Drosophila melanogaster: one gene and its partners. The protein of the gene in region 1 binds, or shares a complex with, the protein of each later gene. Each region holds a gene or a part of one and is shown in the gene's direction. Other genes may lie near its edges. The genes, in order: Nup205, xmas, Nup153 and Nup358.

The links.
Region 2: Nup205 (region 1) and xmas share a complex: the UniProt entries of both Drosophila melanogaster proteins name them as parts of the nuclear pore complex.
Region 3: Nup205 (region 1) and Nup153 share a complex: the UniProt entries of both Drosophila melanogaster proteins name them as parts of the nuclear pore complex.
Region 4: Nup205 (region 1) and Nup358 share a complex: the UniProt entries of both Drosophila melanogaster proteins name them as parts of the nuclear pore complex.

The regions. Positions count from the first base shown.
Region 1 is NC_004354.4:19,850,367-19,858,240, forward strand, and holds the start of Nup205 (nucleoporin 205kD), read left to right. Parts: upstream 1-1,847; 5' UTR 1,848-1,981; coding exon 1,982-2,203; intron 2,204-2,282; coding exon 2,283-2,606; intron 2,607-2,693; coding exon 2,694-2,795; intron 2,796-2,885; coding exon 2,886-3,448; intron 3,449-3,512; coding exon 3,513-4,013; intron 4,014-4,069; coding exon 4,070-5,621; intron 5,622-5,721; coding exon 5,722-7,106; intron 7,107-7,169; coding exon 7,170-7,874. Other genes in the region: pico, read right to left, coding at 497-646. UniProt on the Drosophila melanogaster protein: Plays a role in the nuclear pore complex (NPC) assembly and maintenance, but with limited role in NPC permeability. Required for specific nuclear import pathways such as Mad import.
Region 2 is NC_004354.4:17,156,263-17,161,101, reverse strand, and holds the start of xmas (xmas), read left to right. Parts: upstream 1-1,795; 5' UTR 1,796-1,887; coding exon 1,888-1,931; intron 1,932-1,995; coding exon 1,996-3,529; intron 3,530-3,589; coding exon 3,590-4,839. UniProt on the Drosophila melanogaster protein: Involved in mRNA export and mRNA coupled transcription activation.
Region 3 is NC_004354.4:16,597,550-16,602,281, forward strand, and holds the start of Nup153 (nucleoporin 153kD), read left to right. Parts: upstream 1-1,691; 5' UTR 1,692-2,090; exon of another isoform or gene 2,091-2,174; 5' UTR 2,175-2,605; coding exon 2,606-2,764; intron 2,765-2,830; coding exon 2,831-3,346; intron 3,347-3,404; coding exon 3,405-3,649; intron 3,650-3,826; coding exon 3,827-4,732. Other genes in the region: CG9784 (uncharacterized protein), read right to left, coding at 1-693. UniProt on the Drosophila melanogaster protein: Component of the nuclear pore complex (NPC), a complex required for the trafficking across the nuclear envelope. Functions as a scaffolding element in the nuclear phase of the NPC.
Region 4 is NT_033777.3:25,247,519-25,252,351, forward strand, and holds the start of Nup358 (nucleoporin 358kD), read left to right. Parts: upstream 1-1,829; 5' UTR 1,830-2,112; coding exon 2,113-2,184; intron 2,185-2,704; coding exon 2,705-4,833. Other genes in the region: Nup37 (nucleoporin 37kD), read left to right, coding at 445-588, 655-1,063, 1,121-1,530. UniProt on the Drosophila melanogaster protein: E3 SUMO-protein ligase. Component of the nuclear pore complex (NPC), a complex required for trafficking across the nuclear envelope.

The DNA.
Region 1 (7,874 bases):
GCAGCTGGTCCAAAGATTAATCATTCCGCTCTCTGCGTTTGCTTTTATTAATTCTCCTTTGACCCATCGAATGGGGGGAGTGGTAAAGTTTTAAGTTTCTATATTATCAAACTATAGGAAACTATATCCATGATACTAGTTGGGCAGTCTCAACTTTGGAGTACCGAATTTGAAGTCTTTTGATCACCTAGCACTGCATAACTAGGTTATTTTCATAGCCAAGGAGTAAAGTATACTGAATACACTCGAAAAAAAAAACACTAATAGAGAATTATAGTTAATACAATTACCAACCATATGTGAGTCTACCATTTGCACCGTTCTTACTATAATTTGAAGAAGCTGTACTTTAAAGGTATAGTTCAGTTTCTTCCTGTGTACTCTGTCCTATGACTTCTTTTTTTTTTGTGTGTGGGAGCGAATTATGAAGTACAGAGGAAATGGTCGAGCAACACAAACGCACACACACATTTGGAGAAACTTGGGAGATACTTACATTTGTTATTGTTGCTGCTTCCTCGAGGCTGTGCTGTTGTTGTTGCCGCTGCTGCTGGTGGTGTTGTTGTTGTAGCTGTTGCTGGAGTAAGTGCAGTTGTTGCTGTTGTAGTTGTTGTTGCTGATGTGCCGCAATACCACCACAATCCATAGTAATTACGGGTGCGAGGGGGCGGGGTTAAGTGTGTGTGGGAGTGGAGTGGAGTCGTCAATTGGGAGCGCACTCTCTATCTCTCTCTCTCTCTCTCCAAATCTCGCTCTCTGTATTGCTGCTCCTTCGCGCGATCGCTTACTGCAGCGGAATGAAAAGCGAAACAGACATAATTGAAGAAATGCGATAGCTCTCCGTCTTGAATTTCAACGATTCGCCGTAAGGGAGCGCTGTTAACCGCTATTTCAGTCACTGTTTGTGTCTTGTTCCTTTTTTTTATTTTTTTTTATTTTCAGCTAACTCTGCAGTTTGCCTTTGTCCATATTTTCGGTGGAAAAACCACTTCCTTGCTCTCTCGCTCTGGCTCCCTTGCTCTTCTATACCGCTCTCTCTCTCGCTCGCCAGGCGTTGCGTGGGCGAACGTAGGGGAGAGAGCAAGCGAAACGAAAAGAGAGAGGCGAACGCAGTTTGGAGTTTTATGCACTGGAGTTGTGAGTATGTTCGTGTGTGCCTGTGTGACTGCTACCCCCACACACTTGCACTGCCTCTCTTCCTCTCTGTCGCTCTCGCACACCCAGTACCAAGTACTCTGAACTCCAACTCCAGTTACAAATTCAATTCCAATTCGAATAATTCCCAATGAAATTTGAATTTTCCTTCCAATTGCACTGGCTTTGGCAGTTAGTATCCCTTTTGGCATTTATTGCAGCCGAACTGCGCCGATTGCATTTGCATTTACACTTCTACATCCACTTCCACATCCACTTGCATCGACAGCCAGAACCAGCATCCCACTATGGTGCAGTTCAGCCTGCCCGCGGCCATCGGTGATTCACTCACAATGCGAACAGGACACCACTTGGGCAGTGCGTTCGCTGGCCAAATCAAGTGGCGGAGAACAGAAAAAAAAAAAAACGCGAATCGGAACAAAACAAATGGATGCTACTATCGGGTAACTACGAAAAGTCCGTGCGTAGATTTTCACGAAAACGCCCCGCCCGCGCCGCACTGAAGTTGTGTTAGTTAGTGGTGCGACAACGCACCGATGCAGCGCCTCGATTATCGTTCGATAAGCATCGATTTTCCGATTGACTTGGTTCGAATCAACCGTTTAGCCAGCGCAGCAACCGCAGTTAGCGGGCACAAGCACCGAAGCGCGTACGAGCGTGGTGAGTTCGTACGGTGGTGAACATCTGTGTTTTCCAGTATTTGCAGCACCCAGCCCTGGTAACCGGCGCCTTGTCGCAAAGCGAAGCAATCTTGCCGCGTTTTATAGTCAATAACTGCGAATCAGCAAGAACTGCGTGAACTGAGCGAACCGCAAAACCAAGTGAAATGGATGGTGAGTGCCTGGCCAACGAGCAGATGTGCGTGGGTCGCCAAATCACTAATGCCACCCATGCGTCCACAGCTGTAATCGAGGACATGTGGACGCCGTACAAGCATTTGTACAACACTTTTCAGACCGCGGTGTCCAATCGCAGTGGCTTCACCTCGGATCTGGAGCAGTGCCTCAAGAAGTACAAGCACAACTTCAGCAACTTGCTGCGCAATCCGGTGGGTATAGCAAAACAAGCGCTTGCAGATCCGTAGATTTAACTAATTATTGATAATCCATTATTGAAAATGTCGGCAGCCGAGAAGCGAGAAGAGCCGCAATCTCCTACGAAATGCCCTCAACGAAGGCGTCCCGATGCAGGGGCATTCGCGAAAGACAAAGATGTCACAGGACCTGGCCGACGAGGCGGTCATTCTGTCCGACATGTTCGATCTGGACGAGGGTTTCGCCGTGGAGCTGCTGTGCACCGCACAGCGCCAGCAGAAGCATCATCCCGGCCTGTCCAGAGGCCTTGTCGCGGTGCTGCTCTACTACGATGGACGAAAGGCCATCAGCTGCACGCTTCGCGACATGTTCCAGGTGGTTAGCGGCGTCTCGTGGAACACCGAACTGCCCAAGGAGGTAAGTTTCGAGATTTCGACATCGCAGGCATCGCAGTGCCGCTGAAAGAGAGATTCACTGACCCTGATTATCGTTCTACGCACGCAGATCACCGGTCTGGTCACTAACTATGCCGAGAGCCTTGTCGACGGCTCTGGGATACTGGGACGCCTGCTGCAGCTGCTCGAGGAGATGGATGTCGACAAGGAGGTGGGTTTGTATGCGCCTGTTTCTGAAATTCTCTGAAATTGCATATCTTCCTTCGCAAATTGTTATTCATTTGTTGTCCAACGTTCGCAGTGCGCTATGCTGACCACAAACCGCGCGTTTGGCTCCAAGAAGCATCAGAACCAGGTGCTCGGCCTATACGAGGACATTCAACAGGCATTGGCAATGGCCCTGTTCAATTGGTCGGCACAACGCGGCCTGCCGCGACACATTGCCATTCGGCTGATGCACCAATTGGCCAACCGAAAGAACCACGACGCGGGCGGCAACATGGACGACGTGACCCTGATCATGCTGATGGCTCTGCTGTATGCGTACGATACCTCCATGCTGCTGGTCACCGAGGAACCCAATGAGCACACAACCCGACTTCCGATCTTCAGCGATCGCGAGTTCGCCGAGTGCTTCCTGGAGGAGCTGTACGCGCAGAGCAGCTGGCAAGCACCGCGCCTGAATGCCATCATTGCCTACAGCTTCGGACTAACGCTGGCCAGCCTGCGGCATGCACCTTTGCAGCTTCAGGCCACCGCCATCTCGATCATCAATCGCGATGAGATGCTCATCGACGAGGCACTGGGAGCGCAGGTATTCGTCTTCTTCCACAGCTTGCTGCTCGAGAAGGATCTGGTCTATAGGTGAGTACTGACAACTGAAGTGTCAATTGCCGATTCGCAAGCTAATCATCATTTGTGCTGACAGCACGCAGTTCTTCTACCGCCGCGTCCATCTGCTCATCACGGACTTCATCGACTTCATGAACTCCAAGGTGTCGGAGCTGCGCGGCCGAGCAGACGAGTCGTCACACACGATCATCAGCTTCCTAAACGAGGGTCTGGAACCGCCGCCCAACTTGGACTCCAACTTTGAGCTGCTCATGCTGTGCGTGGCCAAGATGCACGGCGATCCGCGCGTCACCATCAGGCTGTGCAACGAGTACTGGGGCCCCGGCGATCCCAACGGCTCTACGGCATTCAAGAACACCTCGCGCTCGGTGTCGCTGTTCAAGTTCATTAGCTTGGCCAGCGACCTGCTGCCACAGACGCTGTTCAAGGCCTACCTCAAGATGATATCCGGACTTACACGGACCGATTTCTCGGCTCGATGCGCCTTCAACATGCTTAGGGTGCCCCAGATGGCCACCGGCGGCAAGTATGCGGTTAGCTGGGATCACTTCTTCACCACCCTGGGCAACTACTATACGTAAGTGTGACTCAAATCTGGTATTGAAGATCTCTCTGAAGATCACTATCTTCTAGTTCGATGCGCAACGACTTTAACACCAACATCGGCATGAGCGGCGAGACCATTTACCGCACCCGATCGACACCAAAGGCCATTACGCAGCGAGAGGCGGAGCATCTGGTGGCCGTAATGGGCATCATACAGGCGGTGGCGGAACACGACGAGGTCTCGCGCATCATGATCTGTGACCATCCCAATTGGCAGACGCCGCAGGTGCTCCTGGGCCTGGTTGCGTGCGCCACGCCGCTTTTTTTGAAGGCGGAGATTCTGCACACGCTGGCTGCCCTGGCCAAATCGAAGGAGACGGCGCGCGTCATCTGGTTCCACCTGGAGGCCTCGCAGATTATACCCACTGTGCCCGTGTCTAGAAGCTATGCCCAGTGCAGTTTGTTGGAGGAGATGGAACAAATCGAGAGCCGTTCGGAGCAGTATAACCTGACGCGCGGCATCCTCCAATTGCTCTACACACTGATGACCACCAATCTGCCGAAGAGTTTGGGCGCCGGGCAACGGACACCGGCCTACGAAGGCTATCTAAAGTCCATGATAAATTCGGTGTTGCTCAAGTTTTACAATCGCGCGTACAAGGTTCCCTCCGAGAAGTGGCAAGTTGGCGCCCAGTGCCTGAAACTGCTCTACTACCTACTGGCCACCTATCGGCCGTCCGCAATGGATTTTCTGGAGACAGTCGATGAACCTCCCTATCCGGGCTTTCACGTTATGATGCAGCTGCAGCTGAAGTCCGAAATGTTGCAGCTGCTGCTGTGCATTGTGGAGGAGGTGCGTGAGCGGCTGGACAACTACAATCGCTTTCAGGGCAAGAAGCTACTCGAGGAGTGCTCATTGTACGCACTGCTGATCCTGGAAGCCGCATTGGCGAAACAGAACGCCTTCTTTGAGGCCCACTCGGCGGCCAATTGCCCCATTTTGCTGTCGGGCCTGAATCGCATGCTCCTGGATCTGAATCCACGCAGTCGCAAGCCCGATCACGTGCTGAATATCATTAAGTATGTAACCTATAATAGCTGGCTGCCGCGGCACGCCCTGGCCGCCATTAAGATTCTGGCTTCGGTCACCCAGCTGCCGAATGTCTCCACCCAGATTCTCAGCATGTACGGTCAGGGCAGCAATGAGAAGCTCGAGATTCGTCAGGGTTTCGTCGAGTGCCTGGAAATGGAGGTGTGCGTGGGCAAGCACGACGACGATTTGTTGGACCAACTGGCCCTCAACAATCACGTTCCGTATCTGGGATTCGGCGATGATCTGGACAATGAGCGAGAGATGAGCGGGGAACGCGAATATTCAACTATTGAATCGCAACTGGAGCTGCAGGCGGGGGATGGCGCGCTGGAGAGCAAACCGGCTAGCATTGAGCTGCAACTGAAAGAGGCCATTATCAAGCTGTTCGAGATGAATCTTAGCCAGCAGTTGCCCAACTTTGTGTACTTCCTGCTCGGCGTGGATGTGCTGCGCGAATTTATGGCCAACGGACGGCAGCACCTGGCCATCGAGATGCAAAGCTCGTGCGTGAACTCCGTAGTGCTGTTGCTGGAAAAGTACATGGATGTGAGTTGAAAGCCATTGGCCATTACTATCTATTCTAACTAACTAACTAACTAACTAACTTACCAACTTTTAACAATCAAATCAATCTCTGATATTGCAGAAACAGCGTCACAGCGATAAGTACTGCGAGCACACGGCGAGAATCGTGGAGCGCATTTACCATCTGTTCCATGGACTCTGCGCCAATCGCCGCACCGCGGAGACGATACTGCGCTACTTCCGGCTAACGTGCAGCGACTTCCTGCTGCGTCACCTACGCTCGCTGCCCTTCCGGCAGCATCGCGAGGATCATGTGCTGCACGCCATGGGCCACCTGCTCAACTGCGTCTCTATCGATGTCAAACTGGCGGCCAAACATGGCCAGATGACGCGCTTCAACCAGATGTGCGACATTTTGCTAATTGGAAACGGAATGGAGCGTTCATCCCATGGCCTGTCGATGGAATTGGGCCACAGCCTGATTTCACAGCCGTCGTCGTCTTTCCTCGCCATGGATGTGCTACCGGCCGGTGGATCGATAAGTGCCGTGGCACATGGGGCTGGTTCGGCGTCTCTCGGAGCTCCAAACACTGGGGTCAAATCACTTAAGCCATCGCTGCTGCAGGAGACATCGCAGGGACTGCATGTCACCCGACTGCTAGATATTCTCGTCCTGGAGGCGGGCACGTTGAGCCAGCCGCAGCTGGAGTTCTTCGACGGGCATCTGATCACTCAACTGCTGCGCGACTGCGAGGCATCCGCCGAAGCTGGCGCCAATTCCAGGGCCAACTTGATCAACGTGCGCAAACTGTACTACATTCTCACCGACGAGCTGTACATGGTGCAGAGCATCATTGCCAGCGGCCAGCGGAAGGCCATTTCCACGGAAATCATGCTGCTGCTCAATCACGCCGTCAACATAAATCGCGTGCGGACACAGCGCTGCGCCACGCTGGCCTTCATGGCAGCATGGGGTCAACTGGTGCAGGTGCTCTTTAGCAACATGCCCGATGCCGTGCTTCCGGCGACGCAGCGTCGCCAGCACATCATCGATATCGTCGAGAAGGTACTCATCAAGGTGCAGCCCATACAGCCCATCATCGAGATATCCGTACAGGTGAGCGAGACGGTGCTGCTGCTGCTTGCCAATTTGCGCTACTGCTGCTACCAGGCCGAGGACCAGAGCCCCGAGGATCTGGCCGCCGAGGATTCGCTCAGCAATGGCAATGGCAACGCCATCGGCAACGATTCGCAGGTGAACGCATTGTGTCTGGGCCAGAGGGCAATCGGAACTGGTTCGGATGGCGGCAGTGGAGGTGGACGGGATATCGGTTCCGGTGGCAACAGCAGCAATCTGCGATTCATTCTCAAGAACCTCGTCCAGTGGATCATGATCAGTGAGGTGAAGTCGCAGAAGCTGCGCATCAATCTGTACAGTTCGCTGCTGAATTGCCTGCGGATCGCGAAGCGACTGCGCACCGACGAGCATCTGGAGTACCAGGAGACGTAAGTGTATCCTTCTCAACAGCAGTAGCAGGCAGTTGTAGCTTTCATTCTATTTCATTGCAGATTGATTTCGCGCCAGGAGAGTGCACGCACGTACAACAAGGAGCAGCGGCGCGACGATCGCCTGCGGCTGAAGGCCATGGCGGCGGAAGTGATTGGCACGTTCGGCGAGAAGCTGATCGACACCATCTGCCACGATGCGGTGACCGGCCACGATGTGTGCCGCATGCTGGCGCTGGCCTGCCTGGACATGATCTCCGAGCTGCAGGCGGTGAGCACGCTATGCGACTTTGTGGCATCGCGTGGCTACCTCAAGCACATACTGGAAAGCCTTGATCAGTCCAGTACGGCGCTTTGCGGGATTCTGCAGCCCGTGCCGGATCACCTGAGGCCGCTCTACGTCTACGAGTCGCGCATGGCCTTCCTCACGCGCATGGCGAACAGCAATGTGGGAGCCCGGCTCCTCCTCACCGAGCAGGCGCTGGGCGTGCTTTCGAATATGAAGGTCTATGACCAGCAGCCCGACCTGAAGTCCAGCGAACTGAATCGTAACGAGCCGCAGACCTTCCTCCCGTCCATCGATGACCGCTTCCGGTCGATCCTCCTGCCGGCGCTGAGCCTCTGCGATGCCATTGTCAACTCGCTGGGTCCGCGCAACAACTCCGCCGCCGTGCAGGTGCTTAACTTTCTGTTCGCCCACATCGACATGGTCGAGGCCATGTTGCGCTCGGCCACGCCGTATATGGACCTCGGCCACCTGCAGCAGGT
Region 2 (4,839 bases), 2.7 Mb from region 1:
AACGTCGCCGAAGCAGACGGTGACCTTCATTTCGTACTTTTCGTGTTAACAATAACTATTATCGTCTTCGATCTGCGATAATAAGTATGTATTTTTGACTGCTGCAATGCACTTTTTATTTTGCACACACATATATGCACTTGATTAAATTGGGCGATCGTTTCTTTAACTTATTTTTTTCTCGAATTTTTCGGATTTTTTCCTATTACTATTTTGTATGCAGCTACTTTTTTTTAACGCTATGCTCGTCTGCCTGCAGCAGCTTTTTGTTGTTCTTGTTGCTGTTGTTGTTACGACCGCATCATCATCATCGTCGTCGCTTTCCAGCTATCGCCATCCTTGTTGCTCCTTTCGCGTGCACAGTGCGCTTGTTGTTGCTGTATTGTTGGTTGTTAGGCAGCTGCAACAAAAGTTGGTCTAGGGCGGCATGGGTGCGAGCGAGATGGCTGCGTGCCTGGAAAAAGGATCGGGATCGCTTTCCAGTATGTACTTGTAGTCGCTCTCGCGCGCTCTCCCTCTCTGTCGCTCTCTGGAAACTGGAACTCTCTTTTGCTATTTACTTAGCATATTTCACCGTAAGGCATCGTTGTTATTGTTTGTTTTGTTGTGTTTGTGTGATTCATACACGCGCGCATTAAAAAAAACGAGTTACAACAACGGCAACCATAATAACAAGAACAACAAACAGCGGGCCAAGATCATTTATTTACTTCTTTTTTTAACGTTCTTCGCTCTCGCTCGCAAACTTGGCATTTGTTTTGGTCAAATTATTATATATTATGCGCTGTAGATTGCATGGTTTTAAATTTACGGTTCGATCATCGTTTTTATATCTTTTCTGTTACTCTCTTTTAACGTTGCTTTTGTCGTGTTTTTCGTTTTCGGTTATCTCCTTTTTCGCCCGTTGGCGTCGCTTCTTTCTTGTTGTTTATCACTTTCAACTATTCATATTTCGATTGCAAGTGGAATAGTATCGTTGACCGCCACTCTTATTAACGAACTATTTGAACTCAAAAAAATGCAAAAAAAATCCACGAGCAGCGCGTTGATTACTGCGCTTCGAGTTCGAATTCGCCCTGGCGAGCAACAACAAATGACCAAAATTCTGGGGATGGCAGGCTCATCGATACTATCGGAACAGCAGCTTGGCTTCTTCGCGGTATTTGGTTATACTTTACTGGGCGGTCACACTACTGCTCGTTATCTCCCGCTTATTTTAAAATCAGGGATTGGGCTAAATGCCATCTAATTCTGCAATAAGTTTTATTGAATTTGCATTGCTTTATATAAGTCAGCCTATTAAATAGAGATATTGATTAAGAGGTAATTAATCGTCTTAAAATATTAAAGTGTAAAGATGAAAATATTTCTTATGTAAGCTATGTATAAATATAAAATACTAGGAACAACCAATTTCGATAGGATTAATTGTATAGTCCTAAGAACGACAGATAGTGTTATCAAGATCGAGGAGTTTGAATCGAGAGCTTAAAAGAGAATAAAAAGAACTTAAAAAGATTGCTACACCTATATATATATTCATATATATATAAGATAATATAAGAAGATGTTCGATTTCATTCAACAGTTTAAGGAACGCCCCAAGCATTTCCTAATTTCCTAAGAATATATGTTTACCAACTCCTGTTAACATTTTATTTATTAGGCAAATACATTCATCTCGAATGTAAAACATTAAAATTTTCAATTAAACCTGAACGATATTGTGTGGGTGGGATAGCCATTGCGGTATTTTTTTCGCGCCATTTTCAGATTTGCGTTATCGATTACCGGCAATCGCTTGACGGCAATATTGTAACAACAAAGCACACATTCGCTCTCATTCAGCTAAAAAAGAAACTAAAAACCTTAAACTATATTCGATCGATGGCAGAACCCCGTCCCGGCGGCTACAACTACAAGACATTATTGTGAGTAAAAGTTCGTTCATCAAAGGCAGAGCGATGTCAACTATAGTTCCATACGAATCCCCAGATGCAGAAACATTCCGGAGCTATTTTTGGACAAATATGTGGCGCGTTCGCACTTTGGACGTTTTGGAACCCTCGTAAACTTCGTCCTGCGTCCGCGGCGAATGACCTGCACCGTAAGCTATGCCAGCGAGGACGAGGCGGCGCGGGCGCTTCTCGATGGCGCCAGCTTTCAGGGTCACCTGTTTGATATATCCTATGCTGATAACGAGACGGCGCCGGCACAGAAAACGGAGGAGTGGGTGGATCCTGACATTCAGGCGGAGTTGAGTGCACTGCAGTCGGGCTGGCGCAATGAGTATGGGTCGGGCAAGCCGATAAAAAAACCACAAAATGGCAGCAGTGGTAGCGGTGGCAGTTCAATGCTGCCTGCCATACCAGTTGGGCCCGCAACGGCGCCGGTGAGCAGAGATCGTACGCCTGCCCAGCTCAGGGATCTTGAGAACATGATGCGCAGACCCGCCCATACAAGCGAGGAGAAGTTCAGCGTGCTGGATGCCCGCGATAAGCTGCTCCGGTTGAACCGAACGCAACACAAGCTGTCCGGTGCCACCCAGGGTCACTGCGCCGATATGTGTCCGGAAAAGGAGCGCGTGCTGAGAGAATTCCAGCGCCAGGTAGCCTACTATGAACTACAACCGGGCTCCGATGAGCTAATCTGTCACGAAAGAGCCCTGAAGCAGTACTCGCGCAGCAGTGCCGACCAGGAGACGCCACTGCCGCATGAACTGCGCAATGAGACTGCCCTGCACATGACCATGAGCTATCTAATGCATGAGATCATGGACATTAGCGAGCGCCAGGATCCGCAAAGCCATATGGGCGATTGGTTCCACTTCGTTTGGGATCGCACGAGGTCCATCCGAAAGGAGATCACCCAGCAGGAGCTATGCTCTCTGGGCGCTGTGAAGCTGGTGGAGCAGTGCGCCCGGTTTCACATTCATTGCGCCGCCCGTCTGGTTGACGCCGATCCCAGCGTCTTTGACAGCAAGATCAACGCCGAGAATCTAACCAAATGCCTGCAGACTCTGAAGTACATGTACCATGACCTGCGGATTAAGGGCGTTCCATGTCCCAAAGAGGCGGAATTCCGGGGCTACATTGTGTTGCTCAATCTGGCCGATGCCAACTTTCTCTGGGACATCGGTCAGCTGCCCGCGGAACTGCAGAGTTGTCCCGAAGTGCGTCAAGCCATTCAGTTCTACTTGGCCCTGCAGGACACGAATTTTGTGCGGTTCTTTCAGCTGCTGGCTGACAAGGATACCAGCTACCTGAGTGCCTGCATCCTAGTCAATTACTTTACGCGACTGCGCGTGCTGGGGTTGCATCGTCTGATCCAGGCGTATAGGTCTCCGCGGAAGGATGAGGTGTCTTCGCTGCCTCTCAGCTACATCGCCGAGCTGCTGAGCTTTGCCAGCGAACAGGAGGCGGCGGATTTTGTCCAACACTATGGCCTGCAGATCAACGAGGCGGGCAGAGTTGTGCTAAGCAGAATGCACACGGTGGAGACGGAGTACAAGCTGCCGCGACAGTATGAGGTAAGTAAATGGTTTTCTTTTTTTTGTTTTATTAATTTGATTTTTATTATCCACTTCCAGTTGGTGGAAGTGAAACGCGTGAAGAGCGTGGGCGAAGTCGTCAGTGGGGAACCTTTACCACCACGAGACCTCTACCTCAATCACCGACCGCACAATAGCTTCGACGATTATGGAATGCTTAAGAGCATTGCATGGACGGCCAAGGATCAGCTGGCTGGCATGCAGCAAGAGGAGATGCAGCCACAAATGCCTTCGCAGCCACCAGCAGTCTCAAAACATAGCGATACTTTGTTTAAGGTGCCCATGCAACCCGACGGAACGGCAGCAGGGTTTGGAGTATTTGCTGCGGCTGCTGTTCCGCCAGCCTCCTCCATCGATGGATTCAGTTTTGTTCTTCCCAAATCACGTGCTCAGGAGTTCCAGGAACAAGCTCCGGCTACACAGCAGCGACGGGCACAAGAAGAGGCCAAGCATCAGGCCCTCCAAGTAGCCATTGCCGCTGCAAAGAAGCGGGAAGCTGAGCTAATGGCTATTCACGAGGCCAAAGTGGCCGAGGCTGAGCGAGTGCGTCAGCAGAAACTCAGGGAACGCCAGGAGCAGCAGCGTCGCCAGCAGCAGGAACTGGAGGAACAACGCCAGCGGGAGCAGGAGAAACTTCAGCTGGAAAAAGAGAGGCAACTGAAACTGGAACAGTTGTTTTTTGTGCAGCAGCAGGAAAGGGAGGCCCACAAACAGACCAGGACTTTGGAGTTGTATCAGGAAATATTCCAGGACACCCTCGCGGAGATTTGCCAAAGCGAGTTTATGTCGCATAGTCGGGCTTGCCGTTCCTACGAATCCATGCTGGACTCAATAACACGCGATCTCGTCGAGCGGCAGATGGAGCAATCCATCTACGAACTAGGCGTCATGAGGGTGTGCATCAGACGATGGCGGAAATATCGGCGAACGCAACAGGAGAAGGACACGCTATTTAACCAACTGCCTTTAAGTTTTGGAGCCGAAAACCCCGAAGGAGTGGTGAACAAACGAAGCATGGAAGATTCACTGCGTCTAAGCAGACGCTATCGACTTGGCGAGCCCTGCGATTATGGCAAACTTCTGGCTGGCCTGGAGGAGCATAGTTGGCTGAAACTGGATCTGTGGCACGTTTTGGACAAGTGTCTGCCGGTAGCGCAACCAGGAGCTAGACGCTTCTACAAGCTATTGATAAGCCTGTCCGGCGGCCAGGAGGGTCTCCAGTTGAACTGCGATTTGGATAGGGGACTACTGCAGCAGCCACAGTCGCCGGATGCTCGTTTTGTGGATGG
Region 3 (4,732 bases), 3.3 Mb from region 1:
CGAGGAATCGCTGCCCTGCAGTCGGAAGTTCAGATCGCCAAACCAGAAGACATAGTCGTGATCGTAGATCTCCCTATACCGCTTGACGTGGTAGTGATGGTTCTCCAGTATCTGCTTGTAGTCCTCGATGCGCTCGTCCATCATATGGTCATGGGCAGTCAGATGGGCCACCACAAAGGCCAGTCCGCAGCCGTAAAGGGTGAACCTGACACTGACGGCGCCCTTGTTGCCCCAAATGCCACCGAAACCGGTCCTCGTGAACTCCGCCTCGATGTCCTGCAAGTGCTCAACGTGCTGCCGCCTCACGAACATGCTGAGCAGCAGCCCCTGCATCTGCTCGGTCTTTACGGCCACATAGTCGTAGTTGCGTAGCAGTTCCTTAGCCTTGTGCGTCCACGGATCCTCCTTGAACAGTCCCAACACCTGTTGCTGCGGCTGGGCATTGACCTCCTGGAGCCCCAACGCATAGATGTCCGGCAAGTGGGCATTAGTCTCCTTCGTGTCCTTATCCACCGTCACATCCTGCAGTCCCAGCAGATGGCGGAGGGATATGTTATCCGGAAATCGACTGCCCACATTCCAGGTGACCACATATACCCGGTAAGTTTCCAGCTGTTGCTTCCCTTTGCCCTTCGATCCGTCCGGCTCCGAGTCCGGAATCTTGGGTGTCTTGCTAGCCTCCGTTTGGCTCATTGTTGCTGGACTTGACAAATCGAAGAGATTAACCCAACTGGCTGCTCACAGCAATCAAGTTGTTTACCCAACCGATTAAGGTTTTATTGTGTAAGTCGATTCTTTATGCCTTTGTGGATTTTGTTGCTCCAATCTGGGTTGCTGGTTAAGTTGGGTGGTGAACAGCGGCGAGGGCGGTCGGTAATTGCTGAAAATATTGCAGCACAAATAGTTTTTAACACTTGTTTGCCCAGCAGCAGCAACAACAACAACTGTGCTACAACAACACGACGAACACAATAACAACAACTAGGGATGGCAAAACTGAGAAGATGACGATATCGACTAGCGGTATTTATTTTCCAGCCCTAAAAATGTAAATTTCTTAGACGTTAAGAGGTAACATATTTGATTCATCTAGTAGTAAATTCAAGTTGTTTTAAAATGGCTTGCTAAAATTGAACCAAAACAATATGGTTTCCCCTATAACCCATTTTTTAAGATTTATTTAACATTTATACTGTATAATTTCTTTGTCATATTTGCACCTTAATAAGGGCTTTTATATTTGGCGCTCATATTATGTTCGTTTATTATATTTGCTTTATTTCTAATGCAGAATCTGTGGTCACTCTAGCACTCGCTGAATTTTAACTCGCTGGAAATTCTTTTTAGGACAACTATCGATTAACATTAGTACAGTATTTAAACTTTTGCATTATCACACAGCCAAGTAAAAACCTAAACAAATACCTCACTCCAACTTAAAGATACAAACGAGAATTCCTTTTAGTCAATGCAAATGCTTAGTATTCAAATGACAACACAAGCAAATGGTTACATATGTTATAAGTCGCACTTGAAGCGGTTCTTGAGTAATAAGCCCGTATGGCAGTTCATCACCAATTAAAAATATTTAATAATTACAGACTTCCAAACCGTAAACGTGCATGTAACCGATAGCTGCAGGCAACGTATCGATTAGCACACGCTGCCCGACACGCCGATAGTATCTGACAAACATCGATTTTGGTTCCAGCTCTACTTTGTGGCCACACACGCGTTTTTTCCCCAATCAAATCGTGCTCTTTTGAAATTCTGTTTCTTGCAAATCGGTGGTGCGTGTTCTCGTGCAACAATGGAAAACCTGAATGCGACCAGCGGCAAATGTTAAATTGCAATTAAAAGTGTGGATTTCGCGGCGGTAAAACGCCAAAATTCGTACCGAATCGCTGCGCGCGTGTGTGTGTGAGCAGAGCGTGAAGAAGAGGAACGAAGAATTGCGAAAGCAGTGTGTGCGGAAGAAGTGGAAGAAGCACAAAGACAAAAGGAAGGTGAAAATATATCAAATATATATCAAATCTATCCGGCAAAAGTAAAACAAATATTGAAGAAAACGGGCGGCATGCTGGAAAGCGGTAAGGGCAAAGCCAAAAGCAAGAACCTCGAGCGCTTCGCCCGAATTCGGTATTCAATCCTTTTTCCCGCCTCTAATTTTGCAGTGCTTGTGCCCAGAATTTGCTCTTCATTGGTGGCCAAGAAGTCAAATCCTGATCAAACGCGACCAGTTTGTGGCGCCAAACAGAATATTATTTAAAAATATCGCGGCGTGTGTAAAACCTCGGCGAAACGCGAACAAAAAAAACCACGACGGCGTGCGTAAGCGCACTCACACCTTTGCACACGCACAGACAGAGAGAGAAGGCAGGATAGAGAGTGAGAACGAAGCGAGTGAGCGAACATTATCCGCACCTACACATACAAACTAGCTCGCAGGAATTGCAACAGTGTGTGCTTTTTTTTTGGTTTTTTTTTTTACTTACGTTTTTTGTTGTGTGTGCGGCAACGCTTCTTTTTCGCGTTTTTTTTGCATCTCTCTTTTGTGCCGTTGCTTCGCCGGCTAAAAAGGTGAGTCTGAATCTAAAGCGGCATAATGGAGGATGCACAGGAGCAAAGGGAATCCTCGCAAGCCGAATTGGCCAAAAAGCATCCGCTGACGCCGCTCAAGGAGCTGCCTGAAGAAAGCGAGGAGGAGGAGGAGGAAGAGGATGAATCCTCGGCGGGAGCCCTACGGGAGTCTGACAGCAACAACGTAAGTACAGTCGACGATAACTTGGTTCCCATCAAATATCCAACTTCCGTGCAATTGCAATTGCAGTCCATCATGGGGAAGATGAAGATGCGCGTGTCCAGCATTCTGCCCGCCTCCTTGAGCGGTTGGTTTTCGCCGTCGTCCAAAGATGGGAACGATGCCTTATCCTCCCCAGCTAATCTCCGCCAGTCACAGCCACGCCAGTCCAATGGACGCCTCACTACCAAGCGGAAACGAGGACGCCGTCGGATAATGCTAGCCGAAGTGGATGCCGATGCAGCCGATGATCTTGATGACGGCTCCGATGCCAAAGGCCTCAACTATGAGGAGGTGGCCCTGGCCGACAACATAGCCGAACACGACCTGGCCGCCGAGGATGAACAGACGCGGCGGAGCGAGTACAATGTGTTCCTGCTGCGCAAGCGAGCCGGGGCTGTTGCAGCTGCCGGCGGTGACGAGGATGAGGCCGAGGAGGATGAACTGGAAGAGGACGACGAGGATGGCGATGAGGAGGATGACGATGAAGAGCAGGAGAATCTCCAACAGTCCGCCGCCGTGCAGACCAAGCGTCGACGCCTGGAGGTAAGATCACATCTTCAATCCTGTCTACATTTCCCAACTAATCTTGAATCCCTTTCAGCTGGAGACCCCCGTCAATTTGCCGAACATGCGTCGTCTGCCCCTTTTGTCATCCACGCCTGCTGCTCCGCTCGCGGCTGCCACCAGCTCCTCCAGCTCCCAGATGTACAAGGGCGTCAGCCACATTGCGCCACATCGGCGCAATCACCTCAATTTGTATGGTAGTCAACGGCAGCGCGAACCCGCGTACAACTTTTTCACGGGCAACGAAGCTGCCGAGGGAAGCACCGGGGATCTGCCACACAGGTATGTTACTGCAGTCATGCTTACTAAAAGTGTTAATATGGAATTCAAAAAGATAACTACCTTAGAGCTCGTTTCAAACAAACTCAAATTTGGGCGTTGCATAGCCAGGCTATTGCCAAGACGAAAAAGAAGAAAACCTTAGTGAAAATTATAAGGCAATCATTTAAATCATTTTAGCATCCGCCGTTCACTGAACATACCTTTCGGAGGCAGCAGCACCGCTACCAGCTACAACAACAGCCTATCCAGCCTTCCTAACCACAAGCGACCATCGCTCATAGGCAAGCAAACCCATCGACGCGATCTTACCATGGATGAGACGGGGACTGGCCCGGCCATGAGTTCGGAAGAACATCTCAATCATTTGCTGAGAATAAGCAGGACCAACAACAATACTAGCAACAATAATAATAATAATAATAACAACAACAATGTCATTGAGACAAAAACAAGACGAAGTGAACTGTCTGCGGCCGCAGGAGGTTGCGGTGATTCGCAGTCCGAGAGCGATATGAACGAATACCACGACAATGGTGAAGGGCACGACGGACTTCGTCCGTCGCATTACAACAGCAACAGCAATTTAGAATTTTACGGAAATCTGCAGAGCTCCAAGTCAATATTTAACAGAAGCAACACCGCCGCACAGCAATCGCATCGGAATTCTACGTGGTCGCTGAATTCCCTTACCCAACGACGTCGCTTCAATGCGTCCATATACGGCAGTACGTCGGCACTGAGCGACAGTCGTCTGCTTAGTGGCAGTGCCTCTAACTCAGGCTCTGCATCTGCCTCTAGCTCGCCCTTTTACCAGGGACGCACCACCTTCGGGGGCAATTCCGGCAACAATCGCCTCTTCAGTCGCAGCAATCTTAGCTCATCCGCCGCATCCTCAATGTTGGGACTCAATTCTGCCGGCAGCTCACCGGCGCATCAGCTGCATGCTTCCATGACTGGTGGTATTGGATACGGTATGAAAGCGGTAGATATGCGACCTTCAGACTCCGGCAGTCTTGCGGAGACATCTGTGGGCCAAGGTGGCAGTAAGAAACCCGGTACCGGGCTGTCGAACACCACGATGCG
Region 4 (4,833 bases), on another chromosome or scaffold:
AATGCTGAACAGCTGGGCGATGGCAACTCTGCTGCTCACGCTTTCCAATACTGGAGTGTGTGTTGCTTGAGTTCAAAATTTATTCTGACTTTATTCGTGTATTAGCAATAAATTTTATAAAAAGCAAACGCTACACAGTCGATATTAGGCATTACTACTATTACTATCATTAAAAAGTTCGCCGACGTATGACTACTTAAATATTGTTATGTTTCTTTTTAAGACTAGCCATTTTTATTAAAACTTGAGGCACAATAATGTAAGCATTAAACATAATAACGAATATATTTTCGAATAACATTTCTTTGCGTATTCTGTTTTTTAAAAGTGTAAAATCTTGGAAAATTCTTCCACTGATTTTTGGTCATACTAAAATAAACATTTTTTTGGCGCCGGCTAATTGTTGCATATATCCCGCGAATAACAAACAATATTTATAGAAAGATGCGATCTGTCATCGAGCCCGACCACAGCATCCAGCTTAATGAAGCCATCTACTGCTACGATATATGCACCAATGACTTTGCCTACAACCTAATCGCAGTGGCCTTCAGGAAACACTTGAGTCTGCTGCTCGTTGGACTGCCGGTGGGTTTCCATGCATAAGACCAGTGAAGGTTGAATGATTTTGAATGGTTAACCCTTAATCCGCAGGAGGAGAGCGGCGAGTTCGGGTACACACGCCTGCAGGACATGGACCTGGGCGAAAAGGAGCAGCGGAGCGTGAGCGCACTGGCCTTCTCGCCGGACACCTCGCTCAACTGCACGCCCAACAATGTGACTTTGTGCGCGGCCAACGGCAGCCAGCTTAAACTATACCGCACCGATCTGGGCCAGTTCACCTCGCTCCAGGTGCTCCGTGGGCATGGGGACTACGTCAACGATGTATCCTGGGTTTGCGACGGCGAACTGCTGGCCTCCGTTAGCGATGACTTCACCTGCAGATTCTGGACGACGACAGGCGGCGGGGAGAATGTCATAACCTTTGGCCTGTCCTCCGCTGGAATGTCCGTCAAGAGTCACCCCGAGGATCCCAACAAGGTTCTTGTGGCGGAAAAGAAGGGTGTGCTTGCTATTACCAGTGTTTAGCCCGCGGTGTAACTAAGGAAACTCCTTGCAGGCATCATTCATCTATACAATGTGACGCTCAAGCAGACAGTCATCTCCGTGGAGTCGCCCAAATTCCCCCTGATGTCGGCGGACTGGGCCCACAGCAACCGGCTCTTCATCACCTCGCTGGCCGGCGGAGATGTGGTTACCTGGGACCTGAACCGACCCTATGTGCCCGCGGATGTCAAGCAGGTCCACGAGGATTGCGGCCGGGTGGTGCGCTTCGCGCCAGGCAGCTCCGAGATGGTTATCGCCATGGTCATCGGGCTGACTCTCAAAGTGTTCGCGGCCAAGTCGACCGTTCCTCTGCTGGAGGCCTCCCTGAAATCCTATGGGGGAATGGCCTGGCACCAGCGATTGCCGTACATTAGTGCGGTTTCCGATAGGAAACTGCTCTTCTGGAAAGTGCAAATGAAGTAATTTATATAAAATTGTATGAATAATAAATAAAAGAATATAAAAAATATGATATAAAAAAGATTTATCAGAAGAATATCAATGATCTACACTCTATTTCTATATTTATATTTCATAATTTCGTTAAACTATCATAAGTTTTATATTATTCTTGAACCTTCTTTAATTTATTTATTAAATCCCTTATACTTATTTGTTTGTTCGAAAAAAAATCGTAGCAATCGATAGTTGCTATAGTCATTAAAACATCGGTGACGCGATATATTCGCGCCCATCGATGAAAACGCGTAGTCATCGTTTTTTGTTCCAGCACTAAGTTTGCACAAATTTTTTGGTTTCCGTGCTGTTCAGCTTAAGTTTTAATTGGAATTTAGTGATATTTACGTTCCAATCTACACCGCAAACGAGTGCAGTTTGTTGCGACTGGAATTGCCCATCCGAATCTACGTGATTTTCCGGCCGGGGCAATTAACCGTTCGAGGAATCTGCTTCAATCGGATGACGAGTGAAGAAGAATCTAACGCGAAGCACATTTTTGCAAGGTCTCGTCCACTGCAAATTGGACGTGTTTAAAAAAGTACAGATATGTTTACAACGCGAAAAGAAGTGGACGCACACGTCCACAAAATGTTGGGAAAACTTCAGCCGGGAAGAGAGGTAAATAAACGGCCAAAGTGTGCATCGGAATTTCCAAAAAGAAAATCATTGCGAAATCTTCAGGCGCCGCCATTGAAAGCACACCGTTGTGTGCGTGCGGCGTCTGCTTGTGTTTGTGTGTGTGAGTCGGCGTCACTTGGCCGTCGTTTTTGAGATTGAATAAGAAATTGCGCGCTTTTCTTTCAACGGCTGCATTTCATATACTTGACAAATAGAACGCTTTTTTCGCAGCTGCATGGCTTTCGCCTTCTCTGTATAAATCAAATTAGATATTTGAGGTTATGTGTACCATATCAATCTGCTAGAGTGAGCGCTGAATTTGTAAGACCGCCAAAAATAATTCGAATTTCCATTGTGGATTTGAATGATTTTTTGCGGTCTAACGTAGCTCTATCTAAATAATAAGCACACAATAAGTCAAATCTTACAAAGTTATTCTTATCCAGCTCACAGTGATTGTCTAAAAATTTAACAGACTTTTTTGAACCTAACGTACTAATCAATAAAATGTATATTGTAGCGCGATATCAAAGGCTTGGCTGTAGCTCGATTGTACATGAAAGTTCAGGAATACCCAAAAGCCATCGAGTATTTGAACGGCTATCTCCGGGTGAGGGACGACGCTGTAGGCCATAACATGATTGCCACTTGCTACAGTAGGCTGAACCCGCCCGATGTGACAGAGGCCCTGCAGCACTACCAACGTTCTATTCAAATTGATCCGCGTCAGTCAGAGGTTGTCATTGACGCCTGCGAACTTCTGGTGAAGGAGAACAACGCATCGATCACGGAGTGCGCCAGGTACTGGTTGGATCAGGCTAATAGCCTTGATTTAAGCGGCAACAAGCAAGTCTTCAACCTGCGAATGCGTGTAAATCTTGCGGACAGTAACGGCGAAAGAGATGACACCAGTGGCGGAGACGGCGAGCAAAATACCCTCGAGATTCTTATGTACAAGGAGCTGCAGGCGCGTCCCCAGGATGTTAATATACGCATACAACTGCTGCGCAGCTATGTTGAAAAAATGAAAATAGACCAGGCCTTCAACTATGCTCTAAAAACGGAACTGGAGTCGAAAAACTGCACGAGCCAGTCGAACGAATGGTACGAGCAGATCTGGATGGTCCTTTTCAAGATAGAAATGGCCAAGGATGTAAAGAAGAACTGGCGATTTTGGCACTTCGCCTTGCACACTCTCGATCGTCTCGTGCAGCTAAGCCTGGAGGGCAGTGGACTGGCAGACAGCAGCAAGCAGTTGTTCAGACTTGATCAATATCTATTCAAGTTTAGCACTTCGATAGAGAGGTCAGGGGACGCTCCGCAGCGGGATCTCCACCAGGCTTGTATTGACCACTTTACCGGCCAGCTTCTGCTTCACGCGGTGACACTGATTTTCAAACGTGAGGTTCTGGCAAACAAAAACAAATGGATGAGCACGCTTCGCTCCGCTTTGCCACTTCTGCTCCTTGGTTACCAGGTGCGACCGATCGATGATTCGAGTACCAACCAATGGATAAAACACTGCGACGCGGAACAGAAGCAGTTGATACAGATGTGGCGCCCTCAGGGCGCCTTTCGATGTGCCCAGCTTGGACGAACCCTTTTGGGCTGCTTGGACCGGTCACAAATGGAAATTAAAAACGATAGAGAAAATGCCGAGTTTGATGAGAATAAGAATTCGGGAAATTCTATGCCGGGATTATTTGCCGACTCCGAAGAGCTGTTGGCCAGCGCTCACCAGCAATGCTTGGACAAGAGCTGGCGAAGTCAAATTTACCAACAGCTCTTTACCCACGCCGAACACAAGCTAAAGGATACGTCTTCGCATCTGGTGCGGAACCTGCGTCTGCAGCTGCCTCTTTTTGAGTGGCCGAATCTGGCGCATATCGAGAACTACGAACTGCAAGCGTTGGTGCTGCCGCCACACTCCTTAGCCCAACATGTCTACCTGGCTCTGGGCACCGACCCGAACAAACTTGGAGATGCGCCACGCGTGGTCTTTTATGAGGGTTTCCAACGGGATGTTAAGCAGAATCTAAACTACTGTGGGCAAGATTCAATCAGCCAGGTAGATGTGGACCTCTACCTTTATGCCACAACCATTCAGACCAGACGTAAATTGCAAATCCAGCGTGAGGTGTATGACTCCTCCAATTTGGGAAACCGCAATGCTGCCGCCCGGCCACATATGATGCCATTTGCCAATCTAGTGGGTCAACTAGGCGCACCGGAGCAAAGTAACTGGTGGGATCTGGTGGTGCGACTTAACTCGAACCAGCTTATCACTGAAGGCAATCGCGCCGAGCAACGAGCTCAACTACAACATGGATTGGAAGCGGTGCGCGGCGTTAATGGCCCAAAAGCAGATGCCATCATCATTTTTCAATTGGGAAAGATTTTAAATTCCCGATCGGATCGTTCTTCTCTAGAAGCGCGTATCGATACCCTGTACAGGCAAGGATTTTCAATTTTACGCCACCAACACAACCAGCAGATGGAATCCTATGTCCGCGTCTTTAAGTACGGATCCGCCGGCTCAACGGCAGCATGGCAAGATCTTCAGTCGTTGGCTGAGGAAGCCGTCACCTATTTTAGCGAGAAAATGTTTAGGATTGGACAGTATGAGCAGTTTTTGGACGAGGTCCGGGG